Arabidopsis thaliana: one gene and its partners. The protein of the gene in region 1 purifies or fractionates together with the protein of each later gene. This does not show direct contact. Each region holds a gene or a part of one and is shown on either strand. Other genes may lie near its edges. The genes, in order: SRT2, BOU, AAC2 and RABE1b.

Region 1 (4,743 bases):
CCTCATCCCTTTGTTTTCATGTTTTGTTTCGTTAAGGTTCTGCATTTAGTTAGCAGATCTTAGGGACTTTTATTATATATCTAGTACTTCTGCGGTTTGGGACTGAGAGGAGGAGATGCGCAGAGTGTTTTCTTTTCATCAACAACGTCTTGGTTTTTGTCTCCTAGGGCCAGCTATATTAGTTTGCTTTCTTTGCATAATCATGTTGACAAGATTTTCGATGTCTCCTATATGTTGCAGGTATCTCTCTAAGCCTGGAACAGGTATTCACATCTCTCTTCCATTGTTTATGTCTTCCACACGTGCATATGTCCTGCTTATTACACGAGACCTTTTTCTTAATGCAGTGGAACGATCTTCGGAACCATGAGGAGGATATCGATAAGGCCCTCTCTGAGCTTTCTGAGGTTTAAAAGCTTGTGTAATCGGGTATTGGAAGGTGGCTTTGGTTGTTTTGGTTTGTTTTTCAGAACAACACCATGTTCTGCAAGTGTTAGCTGCTTCGAGTTAGTTCATGTGTTGAATCTATTATTTGATGTTGATTACTCTTTTATTTGATGTTGGATTTACAACTTGAGATACGTTGCAGGAATACAAGCATTCATTTTGATTAGTTATAAATAATATATATAGGTGATCTAAATGATAACATAGCTCTTGCCAAAGTTTACTTAAATGATCCGGACATTGTGCTAGAGAGCTGGGACACTGAGCGATCCCACGTCAAGAACTCTGTGCAATATCTGCAGCAAACCAATCACGAAATGACAAATTATTAAGGCTGACAATCATGAAATAATATGGATATTTAAGGCATTTTCAAGGCTGAAGGAAAGGGAAGAGCTTTATGCTATGCTCATACCTCACCAACCCTAGCATTGATTTTCAATGGAACAATGTCATCAGCTCTTGTTTCGCCTATATTTACAATTGCGGTCATAGCACCAGCCTCATGAGCCGCTCTGCAAAAGGTATATAGAAAGCTTCTTAGTAAGATGCAAACTCAAAACTGGATGATTATTCTCCTGCATCACCTGCAAAGGCGAAAAGCAGACATTGTCATTAAGGATGAACCCAACACGAGGAATGCATCGCTCTGTTTTGCAACTTCCATTGCTTGAGTAGCTCTTTCCTTCGGGATGTTGTCTCCAAAGAAAATTACCTTCAATTCAACGAGAACATAATAAGAAACAGAGCTAAACTGATTCGTCTCTATCTGATTAAGTCAATCTTACATCAGGCTTTAGGACTCCTTTGCACTTCTCACATACTGGTATATGAAAACCCTCTTCCCAAAACTTTTCGTCAATCTCGATATCACCATCAGGCCTTTGTTTCATGCCAAAGCTCTTCTCTGATCCTGGATCTCCATGATCAATACTTTCTATAGCTTCAGCCCACTACAGTTGAAACAAAAACGTTGTAACTTTGCGAGATGATACATTAATCCAGTTTATTCAGGTTATGGTATACACTGGCCTTAGGATTGATTGCTTTTAGCTGATCCTGAAACAAGTCTCGGGGAAAAGAGAAGCCGCACTCTAAGCACATAACAGTATATACTGTGCCATGTAATTCAAGTGGATCGCTCCCAGCACGATGATGCAACCTAACAACTTAGAGCTTAGAGTCAACATTCTTCACATCCAACAGAGATCCTACGGAAGAGGAACTGAAGGATATACCTGTCAACATTTTGTGTGATCATAAAATTTATTCGTCCAGCTTTTTCTAGTGATGCTAAAGCAGTATGAGCTGGTCCTGGTTGTGCTGCAGTGAACCTCCTCCATCCAGCGTAACTCCTCGCCCAATACCGCCTACGAGCTCGGCTTGATCGAGTAAACTCCTGTGAAGGAGGTTGTAGACAATAGATTAATACAGTTATACAATAGTAAAATGATCCAAGGTTTGCATTAAGAACTGTAAAGATTTCATAGATCTTGCCTTCAGATCACCTGATGGGTAATTGGTTTGAAACCAGAACTGTATGCTCCATTGGGACTGCACCAAATCATCAAATGGAACCACATGTAACCCATGAGACCATCAAAACGAGAATGCAAGGCATCTTCAGACAAGACTAATCGATCAAATGAATTACCTTCTGTAATCCGGAATTCCACATTCTGTGCTAACCCCAGCTCCAGTCAAGATGGTGAGTCTCGAGCTGCCAAAAGAGAAGAGGAAAGCCATTAGATACAACACATGTATGCTCACTGCTGGAAAAAGATGGTGAAGGAAATATCAACCTTTGCTCAAAAAGTCGATACAACTTGTGGATATCTTCCATATTGGGGGGATCAGCATCTGGAACAATCTTTCTATCCCTCAGAAACCTTGGAGGTGCTTTTGATTCATTCCCCAAAGAACCACCAGGGATCGAAACGCGACACGTTGTTCTCACAAACCGTCTGCATCCTTTAAACAACATAACCAAGTTTCCCCCAGACTGCAGCGGCCGGTACATACTTCGCGACGGAAACAAATCTAGAAGAAGGAAAAGAAGAAAAACTCAGCAACATTATTAACTCATTGCATTTGCATAGGTAAGTAATGAATCAAAACAAGCTAGGACACAAAGATGAGGAAGAACATTCATTATTCTCATACTTGCCTGTAGATACACCTCCAAACACTCTTCTCATGTTCATAGAAAGCCTAATAAATCGCAGAGATGAATCTATGATCACAATTTCACTAGCAAAAAAAAGTAATGGAGAAATGAATCTATGATAAGCCAATTACATTCAATGAAGAAGATCTAGCTAGAAAGTATCGTACTACTGAGATCAAAATAAAGCCACCAATCGAGTTTTTCACCGAGAAGCTAACAGATTGAAATTAATACCCAAGAGCATATATAGTAATAAGATTACCTTGAGAGGTCGTTAATGGCGGATGAAACGAGATTTCTTCAGTTTTGCGTTTTATTTTTTTCCAGAATTTTTTGTTGTTGTTGAAGACAAGGTGGCAAAAATCGGACGTCTGAAACTCATTATTGGCTAAGCAAGTAGCCACGTAGCGCAATTATCCACCGTTGAATAGTTCACTAATGCAAACGACGTCGTTATTGGAATAAAACAGAAACCGCATACGTCGATTTTGTTCTCTCTCTGCGGACGAAGCTCTCTCTCTTTAGCTTCGATCTCTCCCTCGCTTCGATCTCTCTCTCGACTGCTACTCCTGGTTAGTTCTCTGTCAAATATTCGTTCATGTGACTCTCGTCGATTTTTGTCTTGATGCAACTTCATCGCTTTGTTCTTCGCTATTCGTTGTTATTGTTGATTCCGCATATGCTTCCTTTGATTTCAGCTTGTAGGTTTGTCCAAATTTCACTTGCTCTGTTCTTATTGTTGTTGCCAACCAAGTGTTTGATGAAATGCCTCACAGAATCAGTGGTTGTTTTTTTTTTGGTAGAGCTTGTAATCACTTGTGCTTTGTTTATTTTTGGATATGTATGCTGCTTGGAGCCACATTAGATTATTCTTGATTCATTGTTTTTATGAACTCTAGTAGTGTTTTTTAACTGATTCTTAATACCTCTATTATCTTGTGTATGAGAAACAAGTTTATTAACTCGATTCTGTACTTTATTGTTCTTTATGATTCCAAAGATTACTTTTGTTTATATCATTCGATTATTTTCTACTTAATGATGTTTTTCAATTTTCTCTACTACAGGAATGTACATTTGTTGATGGAAGTTTCTTCAGAATTGATTTCAAAATCTCTGGTAAGTCACTTGAAGCAAACTGCAATAATAATGTTGAATGGAAACGTTTACTAGGAAAGGCTTTTACTTTGAATTTGATTATGTTTTGAGAAGATAATAGGATTCAACTGAATCAGTATAGTTAATGGTAGTAGTAATTGAGATATATGGACTAAATAATTACAGAGCTGAAGATTCTTGACTTGGAACAAATATGCCTCACAGAACAAGGCCGTTGAAGGGACTCTTGCTTTTCACTGGAATAAACTTTGTGTTGGTGCAGACCATTACTCCAGTCTATGACTTTGTCTGCTTCTTGCCTTACTGGGAGAGAAGGGTATGTTTTAGATTTTAAACTCTCAAGACTATAATATCAATTTCTGTTTTCGTTATTGTTCCAATGTCTCCAAGTGTGTACTTTAACTTGGAGACAAATACAATGATCACTTCCTGTTTTCATTATGTTTCTGTATCTCCCAAGTGTGTAGATTAACTCATCTGGTTCATGATCATGGTAACTAATTCTGATGCTTTGCTAGGGCAATTTAGCTTACATTTCTTTAAGGGCTCGAACCTCTTTTGTTCTGTGGTTAAATAGGTAGCTATATTGGTTCTCTTCTCGCTTAGATTTTAGATACAAACTAGTTATATTACTAAATACTGAGACTGTTAGCTAACTATTCAGATGATGGAGTCTGTTGTTTCTCAGAAAAATGTCATACAAGTTGCTTGGAGCTAACTATCTTGGCACAGTAGGTTATTTGCATAGGTAGCATGACGTATGCTCTCAGTTTCGACATTGTAAACTAACAAATTGGATCATGTTGCATTACCAAGCACGAAATAACTCTACTGTTATTTTTATTTTTTTCCCTCCGTTTCCTGGCGTCTTGTGTCATTACTGACTAACTTTAGTTTTGTTTGTTTCTCTGTTGTTACATTGAATCTCTACAGAGAGAGCGAATCCGGCAGGAGCGTGAAGCCGCAGCTGCATCCTTAAACTCAACACAAAAAGCTACTCAAGCATCTGT
Region 2 (4,550 bases), about 16 Mb from region 1:
CCACAGAGGTGTTCGCAAAACCGGCTCCAAGAAAGAGTCTCCTATCAATTTGAACGAAACCCTTACATTTTATATTGTAACATCCGCTTTCGAATGTATCTTGCTGCAAAAAACGATTTGGGGTTAAAGAAGAGAAAAAAAAAATCTACTTTCTTGTGATAGGGACAGACGATAATTGGTGACATTGTTACTCACACTCCAGTATGCAGTAAGTCGTGTACGGCTATCGCCATATAGTGCAGGAATCACCTTAATATATTTCATACGTAGTAAAAAAAAAAAGTTATCAGTAAAACTTTTAACCATGATATTTATTCAAATGAACTAATTATACATATGCTAAATGATGGTTGCATTAAGTGGGTTTAATTTTGATCTAGTATATCACGATTTAAAAAAACAAAACAAAAAATTAAATTCTTACAGCCCAACCAAAGTGGGCACTGGTGCGTTCGCCTTCATACTCAGTATTGAGCCAAATGAAAGCCATGCTGAATTGCTCTTTATTTGTCAATTTAGGTTGGTAAATACTTATCCATGCTGATGCTCCACGCCACGGGGTGGCATCGATTTTCTTCATTACCGCAGCCTGTATATATATACACATCAGTTTTTTCAAAAAAAAAATACACATCAAATGGTTTGGATCATATATAGTAAAGGTATAAAATTTTAGTCACTTCACATGTTGACCAACAGTTCCAAATCCATTAATAGGCTGAAAATGTTTCTCGGTGTGGTTGAAATTATTTCTTGGTTTATGGATTGGTACTTGTCCTTGAGGACATCCTTCTTCTGGTATATCAAACTCAGCAACCATTTCATCGTTTGATAAGTTTTCTGATGATGTATCTCCTGAGAGCATGGCTAAGGCTTCATCGCTCGGTCTCATCTATGTGATGCATCAAAAAATATATCAATCAAATAGGGATAAGTATATGATCATGATAAACATTAGGTGCAGGAAATCGACAAACAAATGTAAATATATAGAAATATACTTGGATTCGGTGATTTTGGAGTTTAGGGTGTTGTAGCGAAGGTTGTTTGTAGATATCAACGCATTCGTATTCAGGTTCTTGAGGCTACAAGATATGAGAATTTTTTTTAACTTTATTTGTATTATATATTTAAGTTTATATCAAAGTGCTTACAAAATGGTGACAGACCTTAGTATTTTGAGACCTTCCATGGAAGCAAAGTAATGAAAGAGAGAATATGATGATCAACAACCAAGGAGAAGCCATTTGCTTAGTTTGCATATTTTCTATGTTCAGCCGTTGAGGCGGAGCCAATGTATATATAGGGAAGGTGGTCATCTGAAAATTCTTAATTATAAGGTAATTTACTTAATAATATTAATTCTTAAATGTTTTTGTATAAAAATTTTCATGTTGATGCCATATGATCATTTCCTACCTTTGACCCCATTCATAATATTCTTTTGAGAAAAGAACTTATTGACCCAATATATTAAATTAGTAATATTTTTAATTAGTAAACTAATTCATAAAATATAAAGTTAATTGAGTTATTTTCATACCTAAAATACCTTATATTGTTTTGTTAGGCTTATAACAGCTTCAACAATTCCGGATGAGCTTGGGCTGAACAAGAACTCCACGGCCCATCTTCAAACATAGAAACCCAATCAGCTCCAAACCAGCTCAATCCTTAAACCAAATTGGAATCCTGAACCACACATACGTTATACGTTAACCGACCGATTAAGCTGATCGAACGTCTGACCAGCCAAACTGATCTTCATTTTTCACCAACCACACTTAAAACAAAAACGTTTTCTCTTAAAGAAAATTTAAAGAGACAAAACAAACAAACAAAACTTCAGTCTCTGCAAAGCTCCATCCTTTGTGGTTGTGTCGTAGATAGCCATTCGAGTGGTTAAAAGTTAAAAACTTTTATGTCCACTTGAATCCTTTTTTGTTTCTTTTTGGATTTTATCTGATCACTCGTTTTGTGTCTCTGAATCTCTATCCCGTGGATTCGCATCTGGATTTGTTTTTTTTTCATTTTTATTCGAGCGGCTAACCTTTCTCGGATCCATCTGATATCGATTGGATTCTCTCTAATCAATCGTTGGTAAGCTAATATTTAATCACTTTTGATTGAATTTTCCTTCTGGGTTTTTGATCTGATTTCACCTCATTGTCTTATGAATCCACCATTTGAGTTCTAGGGATTAAAAGATTCAAACTTTCTCAGAGACAACTGAGGAAAAATGACATGTTTTTAGAGTTTGAGTTTGGTTACATTTTCAGGTTTTGTTAAGATTTCTCTCATTGTCTTCTGAATCCTTTGATTTGGTAATGATTGGAAATGATCATAAGATTCCTACTTTCTTGGAAGCAAAATAAAAATATCCACTTTTTATGAGAAAAACTCTTTGAAACGTCTTTGTTATATTCAAACTTGGTTTGTTTATACGTTTTGATTGGCTAAGTGGTTCAGGTCACAAGTGACAAAAGTACTGATTTTGGATGATGATATAGTTGGTTTAAGTGGTTAGGTTATAAGTTAATCTTGACTCTTGAAGGATTATTCATTAACAAAAAGTAGTGAGTTTGGTTGGTTTATGAAACATTTGGTTAGTTAAAGTGGTTTAGGTCACAAGTTAAATGACAAGTATTCATTAACAAAGGTTTTGATTTTGGTTTGTTCTGAGAAAATTGTTTCAAGTGGTGTAAAACTTATTCTTAATTAACAAAAACTTTTGATTTTTTTGGTTGATTCTGAGAAATTTGATTGATTTATTGTTTCTTAGAAATGGCGGATGCGTGGAAGGATTTAGCTTCAGGGACTGTTGGAGGAGCTGCTCAACTAGTTGTTGGTCATCCATTTGACACTATCAAGGTCAAACTTCAGAGCCAACCGACTCCAGCACCAGGCCAACTTCCAAGGTACACCGGTGCAATCGATGCGGTTAAACAGACCGTTGCTTCTGAAGGAACCAAAGGTTTGTATAAAGGTATGGGAGCTCCACTTGCAACCGTTGCTGCCTTCAATGCGGTTTTGTTCACTGTGAGAGGTCAAATGGAAGGGCTGCTTAGGTCTGAAGCTGGAGTTCCTTTGACCATTAGTCAACAGTTTGTGGCCGGTGCAGGCGCTGGTTTCGCTGTTTCGTTCCTTGCTTGTCCTACCGAGTTGATCAAGTGCAGGTTAGGTTCTTTTTACATGTATTACCAATCAGAGCCTATATATACATGTGCTTTTAACTCAAGCTCTAGACTGAAACAGAACTAAAACATGTCTCTTTGTGTGTGTGTTTAATCTTGTTTCTCCATCAGGTTGCAAGCACAAGGTGCATTAGCTGGTGCCTCTACTACAAGCTCAGTGGTTGCAGCCGTGAAATACGGTGGACCAATGGATGTAGCCCGTCATGTCCTACGATCAGAAGGAGGAGCACGAGGTCTATTCAAAGGTTTATTCCCTACATTCGCCCGTGAAGTCCCGGGAAATGCAACAATGTTTGCAGCCTACGAAGCTTTCAAGCGGTTTTTAGCCGGTGGTTCAGACACTTCAAGCTTAGGACAAGGGTCATTGATCATGGCGGGTGGAGTCGCTGGTGCTTCTTTTTGGGGAATAGTATATCCGACAGATGTTGTGAAGAGTGTTCTTCAAGTCGACGATTACAAAAACCCGAGATACACGGGGTCGATGGATGCTTTTCGGAAGATTCTGAAATCTGAAGGAGTTAAAGGTTTGTATAAAGGATTTGGTCCAGCTATGGCTAGGAGTGTTCCTGCTAATGCTGCTTGCTTCTTGGCTTATGAGATGACAAGGTCAAGCTTGGGATAAACCGGTTCGGTTTGGGTTTAACTGTTGGTTCGATTTCTGAATGTTCCATTGCGATTAACCTCTCTGTTTTTAGATTTGATTCTTAAAAAATTTCTGCAAAATTTATGTACCATTTACACAGTTTATTTCAGTATTTCTTACACAGAAGAACTAGTGGTTGACATTAACATTTTAACCGAATTGAACCGAACAAAAACAGAATCGGATGGTAACTAAATCAAACTAAACCGAACTTAGTGATTTAAGAGTTCGCTAAGGGGTTTGTTTAAGGGTTTAATCTATAAAAATTAGGTTTATATTGTGGGGTTACGAATTTAAAGTTTTTAGCCTTTTAGGTGTTTATAATATAGGGGTTTAATTTTTCTATTTTTGGTTTATAAATTGGAGTTAATATTTATATTTAGACTATTTTGTTAATTTAAATTAAATAACAGATTAGCGTATGACTCTGTACAAGTAGAGAGTGTCAACAGGAAAAAAAGGAGGGAACTCAACTGCTTTTTCCTTTATCGTCTTACATTTTTTTACTTATCTATATAACTTTTTCCACTATATAAACCAAAAAAATAATATCACATGTTAGAGAAATCCCAAAAAAATAACAAGTCTTATGGAGACGATTGAGCAACAAAAACATTCACTCTCTTCTTTGCCTATGCTCTCTAGGCTTGAACACTTGGATTTCGTTGTAAATTGTTTTTTTTGTCTTTGGTTCCTAAGTTAAGAAAACATAC
Region 3 (4,535 bases), 1.5 Mb from region 1:
CATTTCTACTGATCCGAAGCTCTCTTGGGCCCAACTGACCAAAAAGCTCAATAAGGGGACCAAGGCTTGTCCAATAATCAAACCAGAAAGAGGCTTTCATACCGTCTCGCATCTGACATTTAATCAATCTCTGGAACACAGATTTTACTTCCAACATCTTCCTAATGTTCCAAGATAGACGTGGTGTGCTATCCATCAACCAATAGTTCCTTCTTCCGAAGATGTTATGGTCCAACCACATAACCCACAATGAGCCCCTTCTAGTAAAGAGGTGCCAAACCTGTTTCAACCTGAAAACAGTAGCAAATTCCTCAAGAGATCGAATACCTAACCCACCCTCCTCTTTTGTCTTACAAATGTCCTTCCAAGCAACTCTTGCACCTCTTGCAGACGAAGTAGTATTTTTCCACAAAAAAGCAGAGCAGAGATTGTCAATTTTCTTATAAAAACCCTTTGGTAGAACAAAGACTTGACTCCAGAAGTTCACTTTCCCATAAACAACAGATACTATTAACCGGATTTTCCCAGCATAAGAGAGAAACTTGGTTGTCCAGGAGTTAAGCTGCTCGGTAATCTTTTGAATAAAAGGTTGAAGTGTGGCAAGAGAAAGCTTAGTCGGGTTCAGCGGCAAGCCAAGATACCGAGAGGGAAAAACACCTATTCGAATCCCAATCAAGTCAGCAATAACAGCAGCTTCAGAATCCCCATAACCTCCAAAAAACAGCTCAGACTTTGAAGGGTTCATGTCCAAACCGGAAAAGGAATGGAAAGTTTGCAGTATACCACTAATACCAAGGAGAGAGTGCTGAGAACCATCTGAGAAAACCAATAAATCATCTGCGAAAGCTAGATGAGTTAGGCGAGGAGTGATACACAAAGGATGAGCAGAAAACTTGCCCTCCAACAGCCCACTGTCCAACATTCTGGATAACACCTCCATTACCAAAATAAAGAGATAAGGAGAGATACAATCACCTTGCCTTAAACATGCCTTTATGTGAAGATGAACATATTGACTGATCTTGCACCTTTCCATTTTCAACATGCCTTTATGTGAAGATGAACAAACATGAGCTGAAAACAAAGAAGGTGAAGCACAACCAAAGTGACATAGCATACTTTAGAGCTAGATAGAAGACGTGGGATTTAGAGCTCTTCAAGAGTCAAGGCAAATACATTTGGACTGGGATGAGGCAGCATCACAAGCCTTCCCAACCATTACTGAATCACTTCGACATTCGAAATTCTGACTCAAAACATATGACACCCTGAAGATGACCATTATAGCGATCCACTAAAATTTTGTACAACTAGCCGACGGAGGAGGAGGCGAGGAACGTAACACTGGTGGACTGATATTGTGTTTTTGTTCTTTTTTTTTTTTTTTTCCAAAACACCATTTTTTTTTGTAAATATACTGTTGGTCAAAACAAATATTAAAGATTAAAGCACTTTGACCAAAACAAAATATAAACTAAGAAATATTTGAAACGTTACCCTGTAGACAGTTGACTACAAAAACCCGTCAATGGCCAATAACATTCCAGATTTCCGGCGCCAAATAGGTGGCATGATCTACGGCCGATAACGCAGTCGTATACTTCCATAATTATATTATTCATTTTAGCAATTACAATCAACGGCTCACAATTTCAATCTCGATGATCTAACGGTCCTACAGTCCCCGAGTGTATAGAATAGTGCGTTACACTTGATTCTTTCTAGTGTGACCCTATTTCTGGAGCCAATAAAAGGCTCGTGTCAAAACTCGCCTCTTCCCCACAAAGAGAATTCTCTCATTTCTTCTTCTTCGCTCAGCTCCGACAACGAAGGGCGAAGAATCTCGCTCCCTCAATTTCGCATTGCCATCGATTTTCTTAGGTAATTCTGGTTACTCTGAGATCTCTATCGCTTTAAATCTCGTTGTTTATCTCTGTTCTTCATTTGATTCTATTGATCTGCTTCACAGTCTTATATATCATCAACAAGGTAAAATGATTCGTTTCGTCTTGATGATCTCATGGTTTCTCTGCGTAATCCTAGATTGAATGTAGTGTAGATCTCGTGTGGAGTGTGAATGTATCGAGATCCTGGATTATTCGGCTCTGTTACTCTTATTTTCCGCCATTAAGTTACACTGTTGTATGGATCTGTTTAACCTAAATTTTCTGCGTCTGAATGTGTTCATGGTTTAGTTTCTGATTGCATCGTTTCTACATGTAGCCTCTCTTATGCTTAATGGTGGATAAGTGTTCTATTCCACTGGAGATGCACAATTGCTTTTACTGCACTTTATAGCATATTCCATTTCTTACACTACGGGTTGTTTAATTTTGTAGAGGTTAAAATGGTTGAACAGACTCAGCACCCCACGATTCTTCAGAAGGTTTCTGGCCAACTCTTGAGCTCGAGTGTTTCTCAGGACATTCGTGGTTATGCTTCGGCTTCCAAAAGGCCTGCTACATACCAGAAACATGCAGCTTACGGAAACTACTCCAATGCTGCATTTCAATATCCTCTTGTGGCTGCATCTCAGATTGCAACTACTACTTCTCCTGTGTTTGTCCAAGCTCCAGGAGAGAAGGGATTTACTAACTTTGCTATTGATTTCATGATGGGTGGTGTTTCTGCTGCTGTGTCAAAGACTGCTGCTGCTCCCATTGAGCGTGTCAAGCTTTTGATTCAAAACCAGGATGAGATGCTTAAGGCTGGAAGGCTTACTGAGCCATACAAGGGTATTCGTGACTGTTTCGGCAGGACAATTAGGGATGAAGGTATTGGTTCGTTGTGGAGAGGAAACACCGCTAATGTTATCCGTTACTTCCCCACTCAGGTTGGTTTAGTTTCACTTCTTTGCTTTTTTAAAATGTCTTAGTTATATATGATGTATTGGTTACTGATCTATCTCTCACTTGCTAGGCCTTGAACTTTGCATTCAAAGATTACTTCAAGAGGCTTTTCAACTTCAAGAAAGACAAGGATGGCTACTGGAAGTGGTTTGCTGGTAACTTGGCATCTGGAGGTGCTGCTGGTGCCTCTTCCCTTCTCTTTGTGTACTCTCTTGACTATGCACGTACCCGTCTTGCCAATGACTCCAAGTCTGCCAAGAAGGGAGGAGGTGAAAGGCAGTTCAATGGTCTTGTTGATGTCTACAAGAAGACCCTCAAGTCAGATGGTATTGCTGGACTTTACCGTGGTTTCAACATCTCGTGTGCTGGTATCATTGTCTACCGTGGTCTCTACTTTGGACTGTACGACTCTGTGAAGCCTGTCCTCCTCACTGGAGACCTGCAGGTTTGTTTGAGCTCTATTCTTATATATCTGTAAGGTGACAGCTTAAGAAATCAGGGATCCTGATTCTAATGTTGTTATTTCTTTCCTTGCTGGATATTTCAGGACAGTTTCTTCGCTAGTTTTGCTCTTGGATGGCTCATCACCAATGGTGCGGGTCTTGCGTCGTACCCGATTGACACGGTTAGAAGAAGAATGATGATGACATCAGGTGAAGCGGTGAAGTACAAGAGCTCATTTGATGCGTTCTCACAGATCGTGAAGAAGGAAGGAGCCAAGTCTCTGTTCAAGGGTGCGGGTGCCAACATCCTGCGTGCCGTTGCAGGTGCTGGTGTGCTTGCTGGCTACGACAAGCTGCAGTTAATCGTCTTCGGCAAGAAGTATGGATCTGGAGGTGCCTAAGTACCACCAAATCCCGCAGTCATTAAGCTTCGGCTTTTGTTTTTTTCTCCATTTTTTTTGCAGTTTCAGATTTCTTTTATAAAAAAGATGTTGATGAAATCATTTCCCCATAAAATTAGAGAGGAGCAAGGGGAAATATTATCTGTTCGACGATAAGGTTTTTGTTATATGGAATAAATTTTGTATGGGAGGGAGATTTGACTCCTTCGAACCAGGCTATGTTTTATATGGTGAGGATGTCCCTTTTTATTTTGTTGCTACCGTTGTTGCGGAAGGAAACGTCACTATGTTATTGAAGATTTTACTAACGCGTATTGATGGAAATGTAAGGCGTGGAAAGGTACCACCGTCAAGAAGAGTTCAATGAACCAAGACAAATATCTCTTTAACGTAAAAATGACAGCTACGATCAGATCCTGGCGAGTGGCACGTTTCCACCAAAACACACGAAATAATATGAAGACATATAGAAATAGATAGTTCATATAATCAAATCAGATTGAACGTCGCAAACCAAATCTCAAGTTGTATTATTACCCAACTTACCAAAAAAAAAAGCAGTATTATTGCCCATACTAATTTCTAAAGCATGTTAATTATGTGTGCTAACTTCGATTCACGTATTAGGTTTTTCTTCTTTAATATTCCATGTTTTTTTCTTAAACGTGGTATGCCACAACACTTGCACTTCCTATATTTTTTTCCTGAAATTATATTCAAAGCCATCAGGAGAATTCTTTGGTTTTGATTGGCACGATCCAAAGACACACATTTTGTCAAATCATTTTCGACGACTGTTATTAATAATTAATTCGTTAATGACGCACCGTTAGTCAACTCCG
Region 4 (5,007 bases), on another chromosome or scaffold:
AGCGGGAGAAACCTGGTTTTTATTCCTCCTTCTCCATCGGCCATTGATCTGAGTATTTTCAGATTCTTCCTCTCAAGTGAAAGCAACGATCCTGTCTCTTCTCTTTTAGAGTTTATCGATAGCTTTGTTTCCTAATTGAATTTCTGGTTAGATTCATTTATCCTTTTTGCCATTATTTTGAATTTTTTCTCTTTTCAACAATTTGAGATAGTAAAACGGGTTAAGTAGAAGACAGACGAATCGTTGCTAGTAATTAGCTTAATTGGCTACGATTGTAGTTATGATTCAATTAGAAGTGTTCTAATTTGTTTTAAAAAAAAAATCGAAACCCAACTTCGATTTTTTGACAGTCATGGAGTTAGAGAGATTCAGGGTAGGTCTTACTCCAACTGTATTCTACATTCCCGGTTTCATAACTGACGAAGAGCAAACTCAGCTCCTAAATCATGTAAAACTCTCCTCTCCAATTGTTTAAGCATTTGACATCTTGAGATTATATGTACTACCCTTTTGCTGTCTTGTAAGATATATGGAGCATCTGGTTCCAAGTGGAAGACATTAAAGAACAGAAGATTACAGAACTGGGGTACACTTGCTTTTACTTTTGTTTTCATTAGATTGTTTTTTTGGTTGTTGAAGAGACATAATAAAGTCTTGAGCTTTTGGTTTGTTTCTTCAGGTGGTATGGTCCATGAAAAGGGTCTTGTTCCACAAGAGTGTAAGTAAGAATGAAAAAAAGTCCAATCCAATCATTCTTGATTATCAAAGGTTCTAGATACTAGTGTATGTATATATGTATCTTTTCTCTTTGTTTCAGTGCCTCCCTGGCTGACAAAGATAACAGCGGAAATTCATGAAAGCTCGGGTCTGTTCCCTTCTGCTATAAATCATGTCCTCATCAATGAATACCATCCTGACCAAGGGATTATGGTCCGTTATCCGTCCTCTGATTATTTTGTTGGTTATGTTTTTGCTGTAAACGCAGCTTCTTACTCCAGTGGTTTTAGTTTCTGTGTAAAGTTCATGAGCAAGTTTTAGTTACTTTCCATGGTTGTTGTTTCCACAGCCGCATCAAGATGGACCCGCTTACTTTCCTGTTGTAGCTATCTTGTCTCTTGGCTCACCTGTTGTTATGGACTTCACTCCGCATTTGAGATTAAGATCAGGCGATGGTTACATTTCCAAAGACCAAAGTCCCTGTGCAGAGAGTTGTGCCCCTGAGAGAGACTCATTCTCTGTCTTGTTGATGCCTCAAAGCTTACTCATCTTCAAAGATGACGCATATTCAGGTAAATTGCTCATCTCCTTAATTGAACTACATAGAGTGAAAGAAGAGTAATCAGGAACATTTTAAAAACATCCAGTTGAAATTCATATTATCCTGTCTTGTTTTCAGATTTCCTCCACGGCATTAGCGATAGTCCAACACAATGTTACAACCAGGTACATACAACAATATAAAGCTCTTTATCATATTCGCATATATGTAAAATGGTAGTGAAATTAGTGTAAAAGGACAGTGATTTTACTGTGGTTCATGTTCTTCAGGTCGTTAATGAAGCTGAAGCTTTGGCTTACTCTAACGAAGAAGATTCAAGAAAAGATGGTGACAAGATTTTTCACAGAGACCAAACTCGAGTTTCACTTACTTGCCGTCTAGTTCCCAAAGTCCGTAAAAATCTCTTCAGATTCTAGCTTGCTTCCCTAATAACACTGGTTTTATCTTGTCGTTTATGACTGTAAAAAACGTTACGATTTGTGACGTGTGGAATATAAAACGCCACGATTTGTAGTTGCCGAAACATGAGGACAAAAAACTTGCAACGGATAGGATTAAATATGAGCCCTTCATTTTATTTTATTTTTTCTTATTTTTCTTCTAAAGAGATAACATCACTATACAATCTCACTCTATCCCCAAATCTTCTCCTTCTCCAAAAAAATTTCAAACCCTAGCTTCTCGATTTCTCTCCTCTGCTCTCCAATTCCATCTTCCCATGGCGATTTCGGCTCCAGCCGCTTGTTCTTCCTCCTCTAGAATTCTCTGTTCCTACTCCTCTCCTTCTCCTTCTCTCTGTCCCGCCATTTCCACCTCTGGTAAACTCAAAACCCTAACTCTCTCTTCCTCCTTCCTCCCTTCTTACTCATTAACCACCACCTCCGCTTCTCAATCCACTCGTCGCTCCTTCACCGTCCGCGCCGCTCGTGGAAAGTTCGAGAGGAAGAAGCCTCATGTCAACATCGGAACCATCGGTCATGTTGACCATGGGAAAACTACTTTAACCGCAGCTCTAACCATGGCTCTCGCTTCCATTGGTTCCAGCGTCGCTAAAAAGTACGACGAGATTGACGCTGCGCCGGAGGAGAGAGCTCGTGGTATCACAATCAACACTGCTACTGTTGAGTACGAGACTGAGAATCGTCACTACGCTCACGTTGATTGTCCTGGTCACGCTGATTACGTTAAGAATATGATTACCGGAGCTGCACAGATGGACGGAGCTATCCTCGTTGTTTCCGGCGCCGATGGTCCTATGCCTCAGACTAAAGAGCATATCCTTTTGGCTAAGCAGGTTGGTGTTCCTGATATGGTTGTGTTTCTTAACAAAGAGGATCAAGTAGATGATGCAGAGTTGCTAGAGCTCGTTGAGCTTGAGGTTCGTGAGCTTCTCTCGTCTTATGAATTTAACGGTGATGATATTCCGATTATCTCTGGTTCTGCTCTTTTAGCCGTTGAGACTCTTACTGAGAATCCTAAGGTTAAGAGAGGTGATAACAAATGGGTAGATAAGATTTATGAACTTATGGATGCTGTTGATGATTACATCCCTATCCCTCAGAGACAAACTGAATTGCCATTCTTGTTAGCTGTTGAGGATGTGTTCTCTATCACTGGACGTGGTACGGTGGCTACAGGGCGTGTCGAGAGAGGTACGGTTAAGGTAGGAGAGACTGTAGATTTAGTGGGTTTGAGGGAGACTAGGAGTTACACTGTCACTGGGGTTGAAATGTTTCAGAAGATTCTTGATGAGGCTTTAGCTGGTGACAATGTAGGGTTGTTGCTTAGGGGTATTCAAAAGGCTGATATTCAGAGAGGTATGGTTTTAGCTAAGCCGGGATCGATTACTCCACATACCAAGTTTGAAGCAATTATCTATGTGTTGAAGAAAGAGGAAGGTGGAAGGCATTCTCCATTCTTTGCAGGGTACAGGCCTCAGTTCTACATGAGGACGACTGATGTTACGGGTAAAGTGACGAAGATCATGAACGACAAAGATGAAGAGTCGAAGATGGTTATGCCCGGTGATCGAGTGAAGATTGTTGTTGAGCTTATTGTGCCGGTGGCTTGTGAACAAGGGATGAGGTTTGCTATCAGAGAAGGAGGAAAGACTGTTGGTGCTGGAGTTATTGGGACGATCCTCGAATGATTATAAGGTTTTAGAGAGTTTCATATAGTGAGCATCTCTACTTGCTTTCTTTTTGTTTCACTCTTGATTCTCAAACTCTTTGAGTTTTTACCTTTTTTTATTTATTTTTGTGCCATTTTCCATAAGAACTTGAAATCAAAATGTCATATATTTCTTGATTTTCTGATCCTTGTTATTCATCTTTGTCTCGCTCCATATGATTCTGATGTGGATTTGGTACTCAACGACCAATCACTTAATTTGAAACCACTGTGGGCAGATTACATCAACAATTCAAGGAGATTGCAGAATATAACATAAAGAACTTAAAGAGGAAAGTTGAAATGTGAAGAGATAATGAAGAAGAGGAAAGAGAGAGCTTATGGAATGCGACCACCACCTCTGCCACTGAAAGATGGGCCTGCATCGATCTCACCATTTGTTTGATAACTCCTCATTCTTCTCCCTAACAAATAACAATCATTATTATTGTTAGTTTTCATGGAAGACAATAATTTACTAAGTCATACGACTTGACATATGTGTAGTGTAGAGTGTAAAATATATATACTATGAGAGTCTATGGAACACTAACCAGCTCTTGGGAGTGATTCTTGTTTAGAAGCAAGAACAAGACTGTTGCAACGAAGAAGAAGCAGAAGCACCATAAAGAACACAAAACCCAACTGTGAAAAAACCTGCTTTACCATTTTGCTCAATATCTATGATTCTATATTGGTTTTTCGTATTTTTTAAAGTGTTGTGTATATATAGAGAGATAGTAGACGCTGATTAGAGATATGGTTTATTTTAATAGGATTTGTTTAATGAAAGATTCGCAATACAGAGTGACATGATAAGTAATGAGATGGACACAAGGAATCTCACGTGTCCTCATCTTCCAACTTGTTCTTCCAATGGTGAGCTCTTATCTTCTATAAATCTATAAAAATATATATAATCTCTTTCTTAATTTTGATCTTCGAGGCTTTTGATGTAGACCCGTGAGGATAGAGAAAAAATAGTTCTAAGACAGAGCCAAAAGGACACCCCTTTTAAGTCAGTGGCACAAGATTTTAAGATTATTTGCAAGGTTGACCATATACTTCATTAAACTTGAGAGATCAAGTTTGTGACATCAGTAGAGTTTATACAAGAATATGAAGAAGCTGCTTTCTTTTCATGCAAGAAATATTAAGTTTCATGTCTTAGATCCCGAGCTGCAAAAAAAGAGTTAAAGATGTTTGAAATTAATGCAATGAAGTATCCACGAGAATCTTTATAGTCTCATGCAAATGATGTGAACTCAAATCTATGTTCAAACTCACTCTTGTTGTTGGCGGTAGTACAGAGCGAACACTCTCAACGGGTGTGAGTATGATTCTTCTGATTGACATTGCAGTAACTAACCTGGTTAGTGAGATCTTCTGTTTCCTCTTGAGACACCATCTCTATCTGCAAAAACATGACACAGCCAATCTTTGTGATTGAACCAGGCTTAAAAGCATGCTCTTAAAGATATTTTTTGTGATATTTTGTACCGTCATCATTATCAGTGAGAACTTGACCTTTGGGATTCAAGAACCTTCAAAGCTGCAAA

The links.
Region 2: the proteins of SRT2 (region 1) and BOU purify together in Arabidopsis thaliana (affinity purification with mass spectrometry, with the first as the bait; one study listed by BioGRID). This does not show direct contact.
Region 3: the proteins of SRT2 (region 1) and AAC2 purify together in Arabidopsis thaliana (affinity purification with mass spectrometry, with the first as the bait; one study listed by BioGRID). This does not show direct contact.
Region 4: the proteins of SRT2 (region 1) and RABE1b purify together in Arabidopsis thaliana (affinity purification with mass spectrometry, with the first as the bait; one study listed by BioGRID). This does not show direct contact.

What each region holds. Positions count from the first base shown.
Region 1 is NC_003076.8:2,869,563-2,874,305, reverse strand, and holds SRT2 (sirtuin 2), read right to left. Parts: upstream 2,899-4,743; 5' UTR 2,748-2,898; coding exon 2,746-2,747; exon of another isoform or gene 2,659-2,745; coding exon 2,615-2,658; intron 2,488-2,614; coding exon 2,250-2,487; intron 2,168-2,249; coding exon 2,102-2,167; intron 2,002-2,101; coding exon 1,956-2,001; coding exon of another isoform or gene 1,945-1,955; intron 1,847-1,944; coding exon 1,686-1,846; intron 1,610-1,685; coding exon 1,480-1,609; intron 1,401-1,479; coding exon 1,236-1,400; intron 1,163-1,235; coding exon 1,035-1,162; coding exon of another isoform or gene 1,031-1,034; exon of another isoform or gene 963-1,030; coding exon 863-962; intron 744-862; coding exon 693-743; 3' UTR 527-692; downstream 1-526. Other genes in the region: AT5G09240 (ssDNA-binding transcriptional regulator), read left to right, coding at 241-413; AT5G09225 (uncharacterized protein), read left to right, coding at 3,927-4,049, 4,667-4,743. UniProt on the Arabidopsis thaliana protein: NAD-dependent protein deacylase. Catalyzes the NAD-dependent hydrolysis of acyl groups from lysine residues.
Region 2 is NC_003076.8:18,988,045-18,992,594, reverse strand, and holds BOU (Mitochondrial substrate carrier family protein), read left to right. Parts: upstream 1-1,727; 5' UTR 1,728-2,100; exon of another isoform or gene 2,101-2,324; intron 2,325-2,782; 5' UTR 2,783-2,784; coding exon 2,785-3,176; intron 3,177-3,305; coding exon 3,306-3,816; 3' UTR 3,817-4,007; downstream 4,008-4,550. Other genes in the region: AT5G46810 (carboxyl-terminal proteinase-like protein, putative (DUF239)), read right to left, coding at 1-103, 196-249, 425-589, 686-892, 1,002-1,085, 1,420-1,431; MSP2 (microspore-specific promoter 2), read left to right, coding at 4,427-4,504. UniProt on the Arabidopsis thaliana protein: Involved in photorespiratory metabolism. Acts probably as a carrier for a glycine decarboxylase (GDC) cofactor or, alternatively, may act as a mitochondrial glycine shuttle. Involved in the transition from the embryonic stage to the juvenile autotrophic stage.
Region 3 is NC_003076.8:4,333,687-4,338,221, forward strand, and holds AAC2 (ADP/ATP carrier 2), read left to right. Parts: upstream 1-1,585; 5' UTR 1,586-1,881; intron 1,882-1,908; exon of another isoform or gene 1,909-1,989; intron 1,990-2,339; 5' UTR 2,340-2,347; coding exon 2,348-2,833; intron 2,834-2,919; coding exon 2,920-3,294; intron 3,295-3,396; coding exon 3,397-3,693; 3' UTR 3,694-4,008; downstream 4,009-4,535. UniProt on the Arabidopsis thaliana protein: ADP:ATP antiporter that mediates import of ADP into the mitochondrial matrix for ATP synthesis, and export of ATP out to fuel the cell.
Region 4 is NC_003075.7:10,988,039-10,993,045, forward strand, and holds RABE1b (RAB GTPase homolog E1B), read left to right. Parts: upstream 1-1,913; 5' UTR 1,914-1,997; coding exon 1,998-3,428; 3' UTR 3,429-3,455; exon of another isoform or gene 3,456-3,873; intron 3,874-4,002; exon of another isoform or gene 4,003-4,204; intron 4,205-4,224; 3' UTR 4,225-4,327; intron 4,328-4,407; 3' UTR 4,408-4,471; downstream 4,472-5,007. Other genes in the region: AT4G20350 (oxidoreductase), read left to right, coding at 353-448, 526-586, 680-718, 818-930, 1,067-1,289, 1,397-1,443, 1,549-1,695. UniProt on the Arabidopsis thaliana protein: This protein promotes the GTP-dependent binding of aminoacyl-tRNA to the A-site of ribosomes during protein biosynthesis.